Linked DNA regions of Sus scrofa. The protein of the gene in region 3 interacts with the protein of the main gene of each other region in a biochemical or structural test. Links are inferred from orthologs where the notes say so. Each region holds a gene or a part of one and is shown on either strand. Other genes may lie near its edges.

The links.
Region 1: the proteins of RUFY1 (region 3) and RAB14 form a complex in vitro, tested with the Homo sapiens proteins (2 studies listed by BioGRID). The link is inferred for Sus scrofa from reciprocal best matches to the Homo sapiens genes RUFY1 and RAB14.
Region 2: the proteins of RUFY1 (region 3) and RAB4A form a complex in vitro, tested with the Homo sapiens proteins (2 studies listed by BioGRID). The link is inferred for Sus scrofa from reciprocal best matches to the Homo sapiens genes RUFY1 and RAB4A.

Annotation. Positions count from the first base shown.
Region 1 is NC_010443.5:261,229,097-261,233,760, forward strand, and holds part of RAB14 (ras-related protein Rab-14), read right to left. Parts: intron 3,333-4,664; coding exon 3,245-3,332; intron 2,888-3,244; coding exon 2,857-2,887; intron 1,908-2,856; coding exon 1,730-1,907; 3' UTR 1-1,729.
Region 2 is NC_010456.5:60,489,809-60,495,321, forward strand, and holds part of RAB4A (ras-related protein Rab-4A), read right to left. Parts: intron 4,756-5,513; coding exon 4,693-4,755; intron 3,216-4,692; coding exon 3,061-3,215; intron 1,690-3,060; coding exon 1,594-1,689; intron 1-1,593. UniProt on the Homo sapiens protein: The small GTPases Rab are key regulators of intracellular membrane trafficking, from the formation of transport vesicles to their fusion with membranes.
Region 3 is NC_010444.4:78,972,980-78,977,726, forward strand, and holds the end of RUFY1 (RUN and FYVE domain-containing protein 1), read right to left. Parts: intron 3,716-4,747; coding exon 3,638-3,715; intron 2,047-3,637; coding exon 1,900-2,046; 3' UTR 1,382-1,899; downstream 1-1,381. UniProt on the Homo sapiens protein: Activating adapter involved in cargo sorting from early/recycling endosomes. Regulates retrieval of proteins from endosomes to the trans-Golgi network through interaction with the dynein-dynactin complex.

The DNA.
Region 1 (4,664 bases), on a different chromosome or scaffold from region 3:
TAACCAAATCCTATTTTCTGCACATTCCAGTTTTGGCTTTTATTAACATTGACTATACAATACTCTGGTACTACCACATGTTTACAACCCAGAAAGCTGTATTTTTTTACTTTAGTGTCTGTAAATAGGGATTTAAAATGTGTATTTTTGAACACAGCAGTTGAGCTGGGAGTACATTTTTTATATCATACACAGAAGTTTACCTATCCTACTTCAAATAACTTCTCAGTTCCCAACCTGAACCCTAAACTCAAAAATCAACAGAAGTACAGAACGTGATAAAAGATAGGTTTGTTGTCTAAAGAAATAAGATTGTTTCCCTTGCTCAATACAGTATTCTGTCAGTGGCCAAACCACCGAAGTGTAAAGTAATAACTTACTTTATATCAGCACAAACATTGAAACACCGTTAGAAACACTTTCCCTTTTACAAAACAATTTATGCCAACATGACAAAAAATAGCCCCTCATACTAAGAACACAAGGGATCTCTTAAGTTATTTCACTGTAGTATTAAAAAATGCACAATTTAAAATCCCTTAACAGCAGACCTGCGGTTCTGGCTGTCTGGTTCAGAATCTCACCATTCCAAGGAAGATAAAGGTATAAAAGCTTAAAATGTGCAATAATAAACCCAGCCTTTTTTCTTTTTCTATACAGTAAGGCAAGAAATGCAGCCTGTAATGCAAAACGTTTACAAAAAGAGAAAAGCAGGTTAGCACATTGTTGATTGCACAAGAACAGTTAAGAAAATCAGCAGGTAAGCCACAGTGCAAAGATGGAACAGAATCTGCTAGTGTTAATCCTCTCACGCCAGGAGCTCTTTCCAGCATAATGTCCCCAAACACTGCCAGCACCAAAGGGTGGAGCCAGTATATTGTGTGAACTGCAGTTGTGTCTATTTCCTTATATGAAATGAAAGGGAGAAACATGGTCACATACAGGTCATACTGTACAAACTGGTATTTTATACTGTTCCAATGCCAGTAATCAATTTATTTTCTTCATTAAAATAATATACACAGAATGTATTGTTAGTTCGGTTCCTTCAAATTTTATACATATTTACTTTCTGCTAAAGAGGAAAAGATAAAATGGTGTAAAAAAAAAAAGATAAAGCTATTAATTAAACACAAGAGAAAAGATAAATGGATATTTTCCCCGTGCAAGGCTAAGACAGAAGCAAACCTCCTCAAGAAAAATGCCACCCACACAACAGGGAATTTATCCAACAAAAACAAAAACAAAAGGTGTTATAAGAACCCCTTCTCTATCATCAGAAGTCATTTCACAGCAATAAACTTACGGGTTACAACAGACATACTTGAACAGCTAAAGATGGGAAGAAAGGCTTAAGACATCATCAAATTAAACCGTACAATGAGACAAAGCCTTGCCAAAAAGAGGAAGGGGTAAAAATCAAGTCCGGCATCAGTGCTCAGTTTAAATCATGTATTGGTGACATACCTATCACGAGGACAATCAAGGGGGAAAAAAAGTCTAGATTTACCATGCAGGAGAGATTTATTACTCTACTTGCCTTTGATAACCTGATTACATCTAGTTGTTTAGCAGTTTAGTATCGTGTTAAACTGTTTTTTACAACAGAGTTGTTTTTTTCTTTTTAATTAAACCCAGTAAGATGTACAGAAGACAATGAGGCAGTAAAAAGTACTGCTTCCAACAGACAGAGGTGAAAGGTCAAATGAGAGCCACGGCAAAGAGGTCACTAGCAACCACAGCCTTCTCTCTGGGGTTGGGGTTCACTGGTTAGCCGGCCTCCTTGTGGGGCTGAAGGTTTGTGTTGTACACCAGACTCGGCAGCATTCAGATCCAAGCTTCCATCCTGAATGTTCTGATAGATTTTCTTGGCAGCCTCAAGGAAAGCATCTTCTACGTTCTCTCCCCTAAGAGGCAATCGACACCTTTACTGGTGGAACATAGCTTTCAATGAAAGATGAGACTTTATACAATGACCTCTGCTAACCTTTAGTCAACTACCATGGTGTCTTCAACTTAGCCACTGTCATCTAATAAGGGATTACCACAAGACTGAGCTAAGAGAATAACATGGGAAAATATTTTCCATGGAAAGCATATAAGCACAATACTAACAGCTGTTTCTACAAATTCTGTGTGTTCTAAATCATTAAAATGCTATGTATAAATGTGTAACAAGAATTAAGATAGGCCATTTCTTGAATAAAAGAAGCTGTTCTAAAGAGAAATGATATTATCTCCAAATGTATGCAGAAAAGTATTTTAGGATTTGTAGGGTCTGATTAGCCAAGCACCAACTGTACCGTTCTTAGCATGCTTAGCCATGTTCACACTCCAGTTCAGTTCTCTTAGGACTAACAGGTATAGATTAGGCTTAATAAAAGGGGGCTAGCTTCTCACCACTGCAGGGAATTTGGGGCTTAATAGAGAACTATGATAGAATCTTGGGGCTCAATAATGGACATAAAACAACTAGAAAGTATGCTTCTAATTATTCTTAGACATTAAGTTGTGCTTTTCACTGTGATCAAAAGTATTAAATGAACAGGTTGAAAAACCTTGAGTCCGGGATACCAAATTCAACCTCGGCTATGAAAGTCAAAACACTTTTGAAATGTTAATTTCATTTATTAACCTGGATTACCAATGAGCATAGTCAAGGTATATTATTTTAGGGAAAGTAACGTGAAATTATTATTTTTAAATGTGAAACAGGAAGCAAAGGGATGTTTGCTGTTTTTCCTGCCATAAAGCATTACATATTTATATATTATATGTATATACACTATATACATATGGTCCTACTTTGAGAAATCTGAATATAATTAAAAATGATCTAACTTTAGCCATACTTACGTTTTTGCACTTGCTTCAAGGAACAATAAGCCTAAAAACAAAATTCAGACTATGAAAGACATTTCAAATTAACTCACAAGGACAGTAACATCCTGAGTAATATCTGAATCAGTTTCCCATCAGTTTTCAGTACTCCTACCACAGTATTTTATGAAAGACTATATAAGTTTGAGATGGAGGGATTCTTTATATTTGTCATTAAATAATTGTACTGCCCCCTACATGAATCTCAAATAGAAACATATTTTGTTATTTGCTCATTCCTAAGATTTGAGTTTGAATTTTTAAAAAATTGTCAATCTGCATTGACAAAATCCCACTTATCCTTAGAAATTTTCCCAAGTGTGACCTAAAAAAGCCATTATTAAAAGTCTTAAAAGAAACCCACCATTTTCTTCAGCAAACTGTTTGGCTTCTTCATATGTAACATCTCTTTGTGCCTCCAAATCTGCTTTATTTCCTATGAGAATTATTACCTAGTTTGTGATCAAAAGAAACACATCTTAAAACAAACGCAACCATTTAAATCAAACATGAAAATTCTGAAATCCAAAAAATCTTGAAGGAAAAAACATGTGGGCCTAAAAAGGAACTAGCAATTAACCATCAGACAGGACTACAGAAGGCATTCATGAAGGTATTAGTATGAAGAGGGATCTCGGCAATTACTTAGACCAGAAGTAGACAAACTTTCTGTAAAGAGCAAAATGTATTTCAGGTTTGTGGTCTCTTCGCATATACTTCTTAAACCTTTTTTTTTAACAACCCTACAAACACATAAAAACCATGCTCCGCTCTGAAGCCATTTAAAAACAGCCCTGTTTTGTTTTTGTGTGCCTGAGATACATCTGATCTGGGCCAAAGATTATGATTTATCTGAGTAGACTATGAAGGGTCCATGGACAAGTTCCAGAGCATCTATAAGAAATTAAGTACAAAATGCTGTAAATGAGGACATTCTCTGAAAGAGAAGGTTTGTGACTTTCATCAGATTTTCACAAGTTTCTGAGACCCTTAGAAAGTTTTAAAACTACTAGTTCACTTTCTTCAGCCTGTAAGTAAGGCAATTAATGTTCAAAAGAAGGACCTGTCAATGGTAAAAAAAAAAAAAAAAAAAAACTCGGGTAGAAAACCTAAACTGTAACCTTCAAATACTGTCCTCCCCTTACACTATCCCTAAGGCTGGGCTAAGTTTGTTGCAACTGGTAACAAATGACTGTATCCACGATGGGGGGCAGTGGGGGTTGGAAGACACATATTTGGTGATTTCAAATTCAAGGCAAAATATTACACACACATCCACTTTGGAATCATTTATACATGTGAAGTTAGGCCAAAGTTAAAGACAGCTCTGAAAAGTTCTAAGAAAAAAGTGTACAACTTTGGGTAGCAGTGCTTTGGCCTTTACTGGCACAGGCCAGGGGATAAATTAATTCTGCCTATATATTTTTTGACACCAACTGGCAAACCCACCCGACCCCCTTTCTCCCCTGAACAGATGTGGTAATCCAGATAAAGATACTTTAGAAATGCATGGTTTCAACTAAAAGGGCTTCCACCATTAACTTCGTTTCATGTGAAATTACAGTCCCTAGCTTTTTACTTTCAAAAACTGGTGTCCAATGAACCATTCTGACCAGAATGTAAACCTTGAGCAAGGACAGTTCCGTAGTACAACAAAAGTGAGCCATCTTCAATCAGTATGGACAAGTACCCATTGAGAAGGGAAAGAAGTTTTCACATACAGTCCACTAGTCTTTAAAGAATTAGGTAATGAAACTTTAAAAAGGAAATCAAGTTTTTTAAAA
Region 2 (5,513 bases), on a different chromosome or scaffold from region 3:
TGATAATGAATGATCCTTTGGTGGAATTGGGGCTGGAGTGACACATCTGGCTCTCTTCACACATCTCTAACATCTCCCCTCCTCTCTATCCTTTAGGGTCTCCAGGGTTTTGCTCCGGGTCACTGCTCTTCCCACTGCTCTCTGGATGATCACACTTCTTCAGAGTTGTCACCACTGATATTTAGCATCTGAATCCTGGTGCCACCGCCAAATAGTTCTTAGATTCATCTGTATCTCTTCATCTCTGCTTCCACATCCCTGTTTATAGCTTTAATCAGTCACCTTTTTGGGATCACTCAAAAATGCTTTAACTGGCATCCTGGCCTTCAGCCCTGTGATCCCTCCAGTCTATCCTTGACAAGGCTACCTACACATGTGATCTGTCCCCAGTCACAACCTGACCATATCACTCACTGCTCACCACCCCAAAGGGCTTCTCACCCCCACAGCAGTGGTTCTCAATCTCAGATGAATATCAGAATTAATCACATGAAAGAGTGGATGCCTAGGCCTTATTTCCACATCTCCAGAAGCAGGGCCTGGAATCCAAATCTGCCTGCATCCCAGGTGACTCTGGTGCACAGCCAGTGAAGACTTAGTAACAAGGTAAAGTTCCAGATCTTAGACCACAATGACTGGCCTGGATGCTGCTTCTCCTCTGCATCGTCTCCTGCCATTCCCTGCTGAAGTCCTTCTGTTCCAGTAACTCTAGCTTCCCCCCATTCTCAACTCATGCTGTCCCTCTGCCAGCCTACCCTCCTTCTCACTCCCTTGCTCACTCTTCCTCCTCACATCTGAAAAGCCTGAGCTCAGTCACCAACTCCTCCTGGAAGCCTTTCCTGATAGCACTTCCTGAATAGGTGGGTTTCCCTTCTTGTTGTGGCCCAGATCCCATGCTTGTCTCAAGTACTGTATCGACCACACTGCATTATAATTATTTTTTGACTGTTTCCCATGACAGTTTCTTGAGGGCAAGGGTTGTGATTAATTTACTTTGGTGTCTCAGCTCCTGACAAAGAATAGGCACAGGTAGTTGAATGACTCAATGAAAAACTGAAGTCCACATATAACTTTGGTGACATTTAAATAAAAATTAACTTCAATAAATGATTAACTGCATGTTATTTTGTCAGCTGCTTACATTAAGGTTATTTAAAATTTATTTTTACTGAAGCAACAAATAGAACAGTAATGAGACAGGTGATTACTGAGACCTGCTCAGTTAGCTTCAGAAATAAACTCTTCACGATACCCAAACCACGGGCCCAGCAGAGTGAGCAAGCTGTTGATAGGGATGGACAAAGGTCCATTCTTCCTTAAATGATGGGTCAAAAAAGGCTGTGGTTCGAAAAAGCAAACACCAGCTGACACCCTGACCCTTGTCTCTTTCATCAGTGGGGCAAAAAAAACCACTGGGCAAGAGGGGTGGTGCACAAGACCTTTGAACCCACAAGTGGCAGCTGAAGGTCGGCAGGTGTAGAGAGAATAAATACCCTTGACCAAATCACTCCTGGAAATACTGAAAAGTGATACTGTTGAGGCAAAGAGTAAAATATGCTAAAGAAAAGTTTATTAACGGAAAGCCTTTTTTACCTGATTCAATTTTGTTAAGTATTTTTCTTGCACACTGTACAAAGGCCTCTTCTACGTTCTCCCCTGTTAGTGCACTTGTTTCCAAAAACATCAGCTCTAAAATTGACATCAAACAAAACACGAAGCCATGTTTAGAAGACAATTGCAATTATTCAATTAATAACTGCCTGTTTAATATTCTCTTAGAATGGCAGGCAAAATGTAATTTATTACTTAAAACCATGTATTTCTGCAAATATAAAATTAATATGTGTCAAGATACTTTTTTTAAATATTAGAAGAGTTCTAACTTTTGATGAAAAGTAACTAGTATTTTGTTCTAGCATTTAAATCAAATAAACTAAGCTAGCTAGAGGCTGGTTAAGGAAGTGGGCTGGCTGATACTGCCCAGCTGTTGATATAAGACAAAGGAGCCATTTCCTTTCCAATAGCCTTTATGTGACCACAAACGCAACCTGCAATCCTGGGGGGGATTACAGGGCGGGCAGTATGCCATCCTGACAGTGAAGGGATCCTGTATGAAGGTGGGCTCTTCTTCCCCCACCCCCTCCACACCCATGACATGTGGAAGTTCCAGGGCCAGGGATGGAACTCACACCACAGCACTGACAAGACTGGGCCTTTAACTTGCTGAGCCACCAGGGAACTCCAAGGAGTGCTCTTCTTATCCACCAGCTGGTATCTCACCCAGCAGAAAAGTCGCTCTCCTGAGCAAACCCTAACCTCTCCGGACACTGGCTTCCTTGCTTGCAAAAATGAGGTTTATTTAAATAACAAATAAATTCCTTTGAAGCTCTAACATTCTAAGCTTGCATACTTCTTAACAGCTTCTTTATAAACTCAACACGGCTTATGTTTTCAGTGCATGTTTATTTTCTCAGCAGAAAACTTGTTAATTTGCAACAGTATAATTTGGCAGTCCTAGAGTCCATATGAAAATTGATATCAGGATATTTTAGTTCTAAAAATTAAAGTTATTTAAAAACATCTGATTCCTTATCATTCTGCTGTCTCTAAGCAACCATTCATTTTATGTGTTATCCTCAGGTATTCTATATGGAAATTTAGAGAAGTTTCAAAAGCATCTACAGCCAAATGACTTAAATTTACTGTAAGTAAAATAAAGCCAATTAAGTCCAGTATTTCTTCTATTGCTTCTCTCTCTATTTAGTAACCAACTTAGCTTCAAGTTACATTTAAAAAAAAAGATGACATCATCTGATTAGGGGTTTTAGAAATTATTGTTACAAATTTCATTTAAACCAAGAGCTATAATACTCAAAAATCCTCGACTGAAATGTCATCACAGAATACTACGAAATGTACTTTTAGCATTACAGTAACTTTGTAGGCAGAATGTAACACGACAAAAATATGCCAAATAGGTTTAGGTTTATAAGGAAGTTTCGCATTTCCTAAATATGGTTCAATCTTAAAACTCCAATAGATGTGTAAAAGGTCACTTGCCGTTTTCTTGAGCAAATCTGGAGGCTTCTAAGAAAGTGACTTCACGATCAGCGTCCAGGTCCTTCTTGTTCCCACAGAGGATGATCACAATGTTCTGACTCGCTAGCATTCTGGCATCTGTTAACCAATTAGTAAGCGCATTGTAGGTTTCTCGGCTGCGTAATATAAGATTGTGAAAATAGCACATGTATTTTATAAAGCTAGCAACTCTTTCCAGTCATTCACACCACTCACACCACTTCTACACATGAAGGGCAACACCACCAACCTTACAGGTAACTGAGGTAACCTGAATGCCCCAGTGCACGCTATAGCCACAGACACCATGGCCACAGGGTGTGTTTCATTTTGTTTCCAGGAAAATGAGCAGCAAGTCAGAGAGCTTGCTGTTTGTGGTCTTCCCAATCAGGGTGCAAAAGGAAACAGAAGTTCCCTTGTTCATTTTACAGTAGTTGAGCTTTTATGCACAACAGGGTGATCAAGACCTAAGCTAACTGCTGCCATGCAAGGACCCTGCAACATACTTTGCTTTGTTTCACAGGGTTTATCACACTGACTCTCTGTGAAGACTCCATGACATTGACTCTTATTATCTTCCTCCTCCAGAAGAAACCTGAGCCCAGAGACACGAGCAGCCATTGGTCAAGCCAGGACCTGACCAGGTCCATCACCTGCAGAACTGTCTGCAGCCCTCACATATCTAAGGACAGATTTCCTCCCCTGGCCCACTTTGTGCCTGGTGGCTTCACTTTAGCAAACTGAACCTTTGCCATCCAGGCAGATGCAGAGAGCCTGGCAAGGAGCTGCCCACCTCTTTGCCAGAGCCCCTTGTTCTGGACCTAGGTTGGGTGTGTGTCACAGCAGCAGGGTGATACTCTCTCAGATGACATGTTTATAGGTGGTGCTGGCAAACACTGAGGTCAGCACCATCTGATGGCATTTCTTTAAGACAGGAAGTTCTACCACCTGCACTGTTCAACATAGCACTTCTGAGCACTTGAAATGGGAGAGTGAGACCAAGGAACTGAATATTTAATTAATTAAACTTAATTGAGATACCCGGGTGATAGCTACACACAGGACAGTGCACTCAGATCCTTATGATGTGCCAAGAGCTTTCTATTAACCAATCTAACCGCCCAAAAAGCTCATGAGTGCTGTACGGCCCTCCTTACGCCTTAAAACAGACAAGGAAACTAAAGTCCTGACAACCAAAGCCCCTCACCTGAGGACTCACATAGCTAGTGACTGACTGGGATTTGAACTCAGGCAATCAAGCTGAGAGCCTGTGCTTGGCGGACGCCAATTACTTCTAACAATTTACCACAGACAAAGCTTCATTTTGCAAACCCTAAGCAAAGTGCCAGAACATCATGCAGAAACTTAGTGAAACATGGGGATGCTTAATCTATCTAAGCTGTGTACTTTTTTACGAGCTAAAGCAGTGGAGGGGCTGGTTCAAAAACCTCCAAGACCCCTGTGGAAAGGGCTGAGGGGCTTCCTGCCTGCGGGCCATGCTGCTGGGGGCTGATGTTTATGGCGCAGCCCACAGGGAGGCATGGACCTGGGAGAGCAGAGAGATGGCCTCTTCCACCAGCAGGGGTGGGGTGGGGTGGGCGAGGGTGTCATTACCTGGTAATGTCATAGACCAGGAGCGCCCCTGCTGCACCTCTATAGTAGCTTCGCGTCACAGACCTGGAAGAGATACATTATTTTACTTTCAACCGATCAGAGCCTTTAATCCTGAGGACCATCTTCCCACACCAGTTTTTGCCTTGAAGACCTCCATAGATGGACAGATATAACTTTAAAGAGAAATGACGCCAAGTCATTTGAACCTGAGGAGCTATTCTATCTACAATTGTGTCCTAGGAGGGCAGGGGGTGGGGCTGTCAGGCTGGGACCAAGGTGGTACTCTCTGACCCGAAGGTACTCTCTGACCCTAAGAACTTGCAGGAGGGTGCACAGGTGGCACTAAGCTCCAGGCAGCTTGGCTTGCTCTGTGCCTTCCCCGCTCCCTGCATGTCTTCCCACCAGGGAGGGGACCTGAGTCTCCCACTGATTCTCCAGCCAGGCGGCCTGCACTCCCCTCCTCCTGCCTCACTACTGACCAGGAGCCTTATCCATCTGCTCTGAGCTCCCCCTATACCCCCAGAATATCTTGCCCGTTCTCACAACCTTCAGATTTTTCTCTCAACAACGCATCTCTCCCCCCCGCCCCCCGCCTTTTGTTAGATGTTTCCCACTAGCAGAATCAAATTTGCTTTGGCACCTCCCATCTTAAACAAGGAGGGCGCCTCGATCCGATCCTCCTTCTACTGTCCCATTGCAGGCTTTGCTTGCACCCAAATTTCCCAAGAGCTGATGCACCCTCATCCCTGCCCCACCCCTGCCCTGTGGCTCCGACCCAGCCCAGCAGCACCTGTCCCTACCCCTCGGCCTAAATAGCCCTA
Region 3 (4,747 bases):
CTTTGTTGAAAAACATGGCTTGTTGGAGGAGGAAAAGGGACTAGAACTAGAAACTTTCTTTGGAACCTTCTCTGGATCAGCATCTCCTGGGGGCTTCTTAGGAATGACCAGAACCTCCAGACATAGTCTCATTTTAACAAGACACCCACCCCTGCCAACCAACCCTGGCATTTAAGCTGGCGAAGTACCACCTTGGACCATCTGTCCCTCATTGCTTAGGTGGGGGGAGTTTGCTAAACCAGAAAATGACGGTTCCAAAGTTCAGGTACCTATTCTAGGTCTTAGAAAAACTGTCTTCCACATAGCTAACTATTGGCAGAAGGATCCTTTGTGAGTGCTCGTCGCCCAACATCTTTTAGTATGATTGGGCCATGGGTGTGTGTGTGGCGGGGTCAGGTTGGAAAAAGAAAATAGCACTTTGCTTGGCAGTGGCAGAGCTGTCAGAACAGTCTTGGAGTAAGGAGGTATTATCTTGCTTTTTTATGTGTGCAGATGAGAGCTAAGGCTCAGAAGTGAAGTGACTTGCCTAAGGCTTCCCAGCAAGCTGGAGTCCAAAGTGGGTGCATTGAAAACAAGGTACAGATATCTAATGCTAGACCAGTTAGGGTAGTGCAGTGGTATGTAAACTTTAAGAAAAGCTGGCCCCTGAATGGGGTGCCAAAAAACTGCTCAGATTAAATTAGAAGGAGGGAGGCCCCTTCTGCAGCCCATGTGCCTCCCTAAAAGGGCTTGAAAATCTGCAGCTTTGGTGCTGTACACACAGATCACTGGGATCTAACATGGAAGGTCCACTTCCATGTTTCCAGGCTGTGGGTAAGCCTGCTGGGACAGCCCCTAAAGGAAGAGAGCTAGGGCCTCAAAGACCAGGCTAGAGAACTTGTGGGAGGTACAGATGGGCAGTGAGCAAGGTGTGAGCTAGTTCACTGAGGGTGGAATAGGCTGAGGCCCCACAGATGGGTGGACTGACTTGTCTGACTACATTTTATAGTACTTAGTATAGTCTGCGATCTGGGCATTCAAGGCCATTACCTCGGGTGGGGTGGTGAGCATAGGCTCAGGTGGGCTCCAGCCCTCTGTTCCTAGGCTCTGAACAGTTTTCCATGGCCTATAACAGCACCTGTCCTGTTGGTGAAATTCAAAACGACCCTGACGTTTTGATACCTATAGGTATCTCTGTTATCACCTACATTAATTCCTTATTTTTGAGCTTTGGTGACAGGTACTTCCTCCATGCCTGTTGATGGCTCAACTGGGCAGAGCACAGTCTGTACCCCAGAACCCAGCAGGCTTAACTTCACCTCACACGCAGCTGCTCTCACCAGAGGCCTCTAGTCCTGAAATGTGGGTTGCTCTGGGCATCCTCCAGTGAAGTTGACACATGTTTCTTTTTCTGCACCAGAGTGAAAAATAAATGAATTTATTGCAGGGCTAATGATGGATATTCACAAGAGTGTGGAAATGGCAGATTTCTTGACTTTTGAGAGGACACACTGGGGGGGTGGGTTAGGGATGGGGGAGAGGAAGGAACTGATTATGATTACTTCACTAGTGGGACTGCTGCAAAAACAGGTTAATTGGAAAGTGAAAGGTGACAACAGCAAAATCATGAAGTTCTATTTGAACCAAAGCCAGAGATGGCGAGTGAGAAAAGTTTCAATCCAGAGGAACTGATTCCATACAATTTGGAAAGGGAGGTGTGCAGCTTCCAGTCCCGTGTGCTTTGTTCCCAAGTGTCGGCAGCCCAGGTGAGGAGCTCATCCTTTAATTCTCTTGGGAAACCAACCTCCCAAGCCCCTAGCCACCTGGAGACCCAAAGAGTTTGGCACTGTTGTGGGGCTGCCTACGCCGCTGAAAACGTTGCAACTGGTTCAGAAAGCAGGCCCTGCTGATGCCCCCACCTTAGGAGCCTGTGGAGGAGGAGCAACGTTGAAGGAGCAGGGTGTGGCAGCTGTCACACACACGCACTGGCTTGGGATAGGAGGGCAGGGCCAGCTCATTACTGGAACATGTGTTGCAGAAGATGTGGCCACAGTTTCGGCAGTGGTGCTAGAGGATGGAAGAGAGGCAGTCACAAAATGCTGAGCTCCCTGGGTCTGCAAAGCCCACTCTTTTATTTTTACCAACCTTTAAAAGTCCATTTAATGCTTTAAAATCCCTCCCCAGAGGAACTTAGCCATTTGGAAGGGGTTCTTGTAGACCTCTTGTTTCTATGTTTATGTTCCTGTGAATTAATCCATGGAATGTTGGCGGAGAGGTATACAGTGCTAAGAGTAAGGTTCTTTTTCCCTCTTGTGGTGGGGGGGGCATGGCTGTGGCATATGGAAGTTCCCAGGTCAGGGACTGGACCCATGCCACTGCAGTGACAACGCTGGATCCTTAAACCTGCTGCATCACTAGGGAACTCCCTACAGTTCTTTTTCTTTAAATTGTTTAACTGGACTTGACAACTCCGTCCATGAGTTGGTAGTCTGTGCTACTTAAAGCCTGCCTGGTATATCCCCTGTAATTGCTTTCCATGGTGGTGACCCAAGGTTTATTTAGCTAAGCCCCTCCTGAGAGGGGAGTCTTGGGCACATGGCAGATGCCTGGACAAGTACCCTTGTGGTCCCTACTCCTCCAGGTTCTGCCTCCCATCCCCCCAATCAGGATAGACAGTGGACTTGAACTGGACCACCCAGGTGTGGGATAGCCAGGCCTTGTGGACAAGCGTGATCTCAAAGGCAGCCTCAGGAGGGTTGTTTTCTAGCTCTGAACCTACTCTAAGGCCCTGACAGGGATTTGGGAGTTTTGTTCCCTCTCTTCCACAGGGAGGCTGTTAATGGGGCGGATGAGGACAGGCATCCACATGGTAGTGGCAGGCATTTTTTTTAGCAAAGGCTGTTTGTTTTGTCCCACTGGCTGCATATGGAGGTTCCCAGGCTAGGGGTCGAATCAGAGCTGTTGCTGCCGGCCTATGCCACAGCCACAGCAACACCAGATCCAAGCTGCGTCTGTGACCTACACCACAGTTCACGGCAATGCCGGATCAACCCACTGAGTGAGGCCAGGGATTGGACCCGCAACCTCATAGTTCCTAGTTGGATTCGCCTCCGCTGTGCCACAACGGGAACTCCAGGCTATTTTTTGTGGGGTCTATATCCTGCCCCTGTCCTGCCCATACTGGTCAATCAAGGCCCTGTCAACTGGACCAAAGGCTGGGCCCAGGACCTTATGATCCCAGACCCTGAAGGCAGGCTACACAGGCAGAGGCCGATTCATAGGGGGACAGTGCCCTGCCCAGGATGCCATTGTGCTTTAGGTGCCACCTGGATGCATGTCCTGAGACCTGCTGCCTATAGGTTCCCCATAGACTGTTTTTACCTAATGTGGCCAGAGTTTGGTCCTCTTGCTTATGAAGAATTCTCATTTGATGCACACACCTAGAGAAGTTTGTATGTAAGCAGCCCCCACTCCAAAATCATTGCGAGGACTGTAGTGGAGACAAGGCCTGTGACAAACTGGCTGGGGGGTCATCTGTATGGACCAGCAGACCAGTGAGCATGATCACAATGTGGGGGCCTAGTCCCACAGGCCTCCTCCAGAACCAGAGGAATGGAAGCCCAGACAGGGTAAGCAGGTGGAGGACTACCCCACATACCTTTCTCCGGGAAATGGAGAACTCCTTTTCACACTGCTTACAGTGTGTTGCTTCATCATCTTTCAACCAGGTGTGGCCCTGAGGAGGCAAGAACACCACAGAATCTCAGTTTACGGCTTGGTTCCTAAAGAATTTTTAGTTACTCTTCAGCCCAGCATCTGCTGTCCCTAATTGCACCTGGTTTCCTTCTTAGGGACTGCCTCTTCTCCACTAGAGGGGGCACACAGGACTGCTTCCCTCTGGATCGCACATGCTGCAGACTGCCTGTCCTGGTCTCCGCAGGTTGCCCCCTGGGCCTCAAGCCAGATTCTCCTGCATTCTGTTAACCTGAGACTCACCCACCCCCTTTCAATAAATGCCTTTTGGCTGAGGTAACCAGAATCAATCTGGTGCTTGCAATCCCAGCCTTGGCTGAGACATTATCCAAAGTGCCTCCTGAACTGGTAGGAGAAAGAAATCTGTGACAGGGGTTCCTACCAAGAGACAGAAGGCAACGTGCTGGAGAGGCTGGAAGACCTCCACACACACTGAGCCCCAGGTCCTTGGAGCATTGTGGGAGGCAGATGTCTCCATTCTGCAGAGGAAGCAACTGAGGCTTTGAAAGATGCCTTTTGGAGGTTTACTTAGAGATAAGATTAGGATTTCTTCAGGAGTTCCTGTTGTGGCTCAGCAGAAATGAATCCGTCATGTATCCACAAGGACACGGGTTTGATCGCTGGCCTTGCTCAGTGGGTTAAGGATCTGGCGTTGCCTTGAGCTGTGATGCAGGTCCTGCATTGCTGTGGCTGTGGCATGGGCTGGCAGCTGCAGCTCTGATTCAACCCCTAGCCTAGGAACTTCCATATGCCGTACCTGCGGCCCTAAAAAGAAAAAAAAAAGGATTTATTCAGCCTCAGGGACTGAGGTGGTCAAGGGCTTGGGATACTTTTCTGGTTCCTTAGTATCTGTTAGCCATCACTTTCCTGATAACTCAGAAATCTAATGATTGGGAGTTGCACCACCGTGCCCAGGGCTTTCAACCTGCGTTCCATAGCAGCTCTAGAGTCCTATTTTATGATTTTTACCCTCCCTCTGGCACTGTGAGCTGACATTTTGTGCAAATACTTCTGT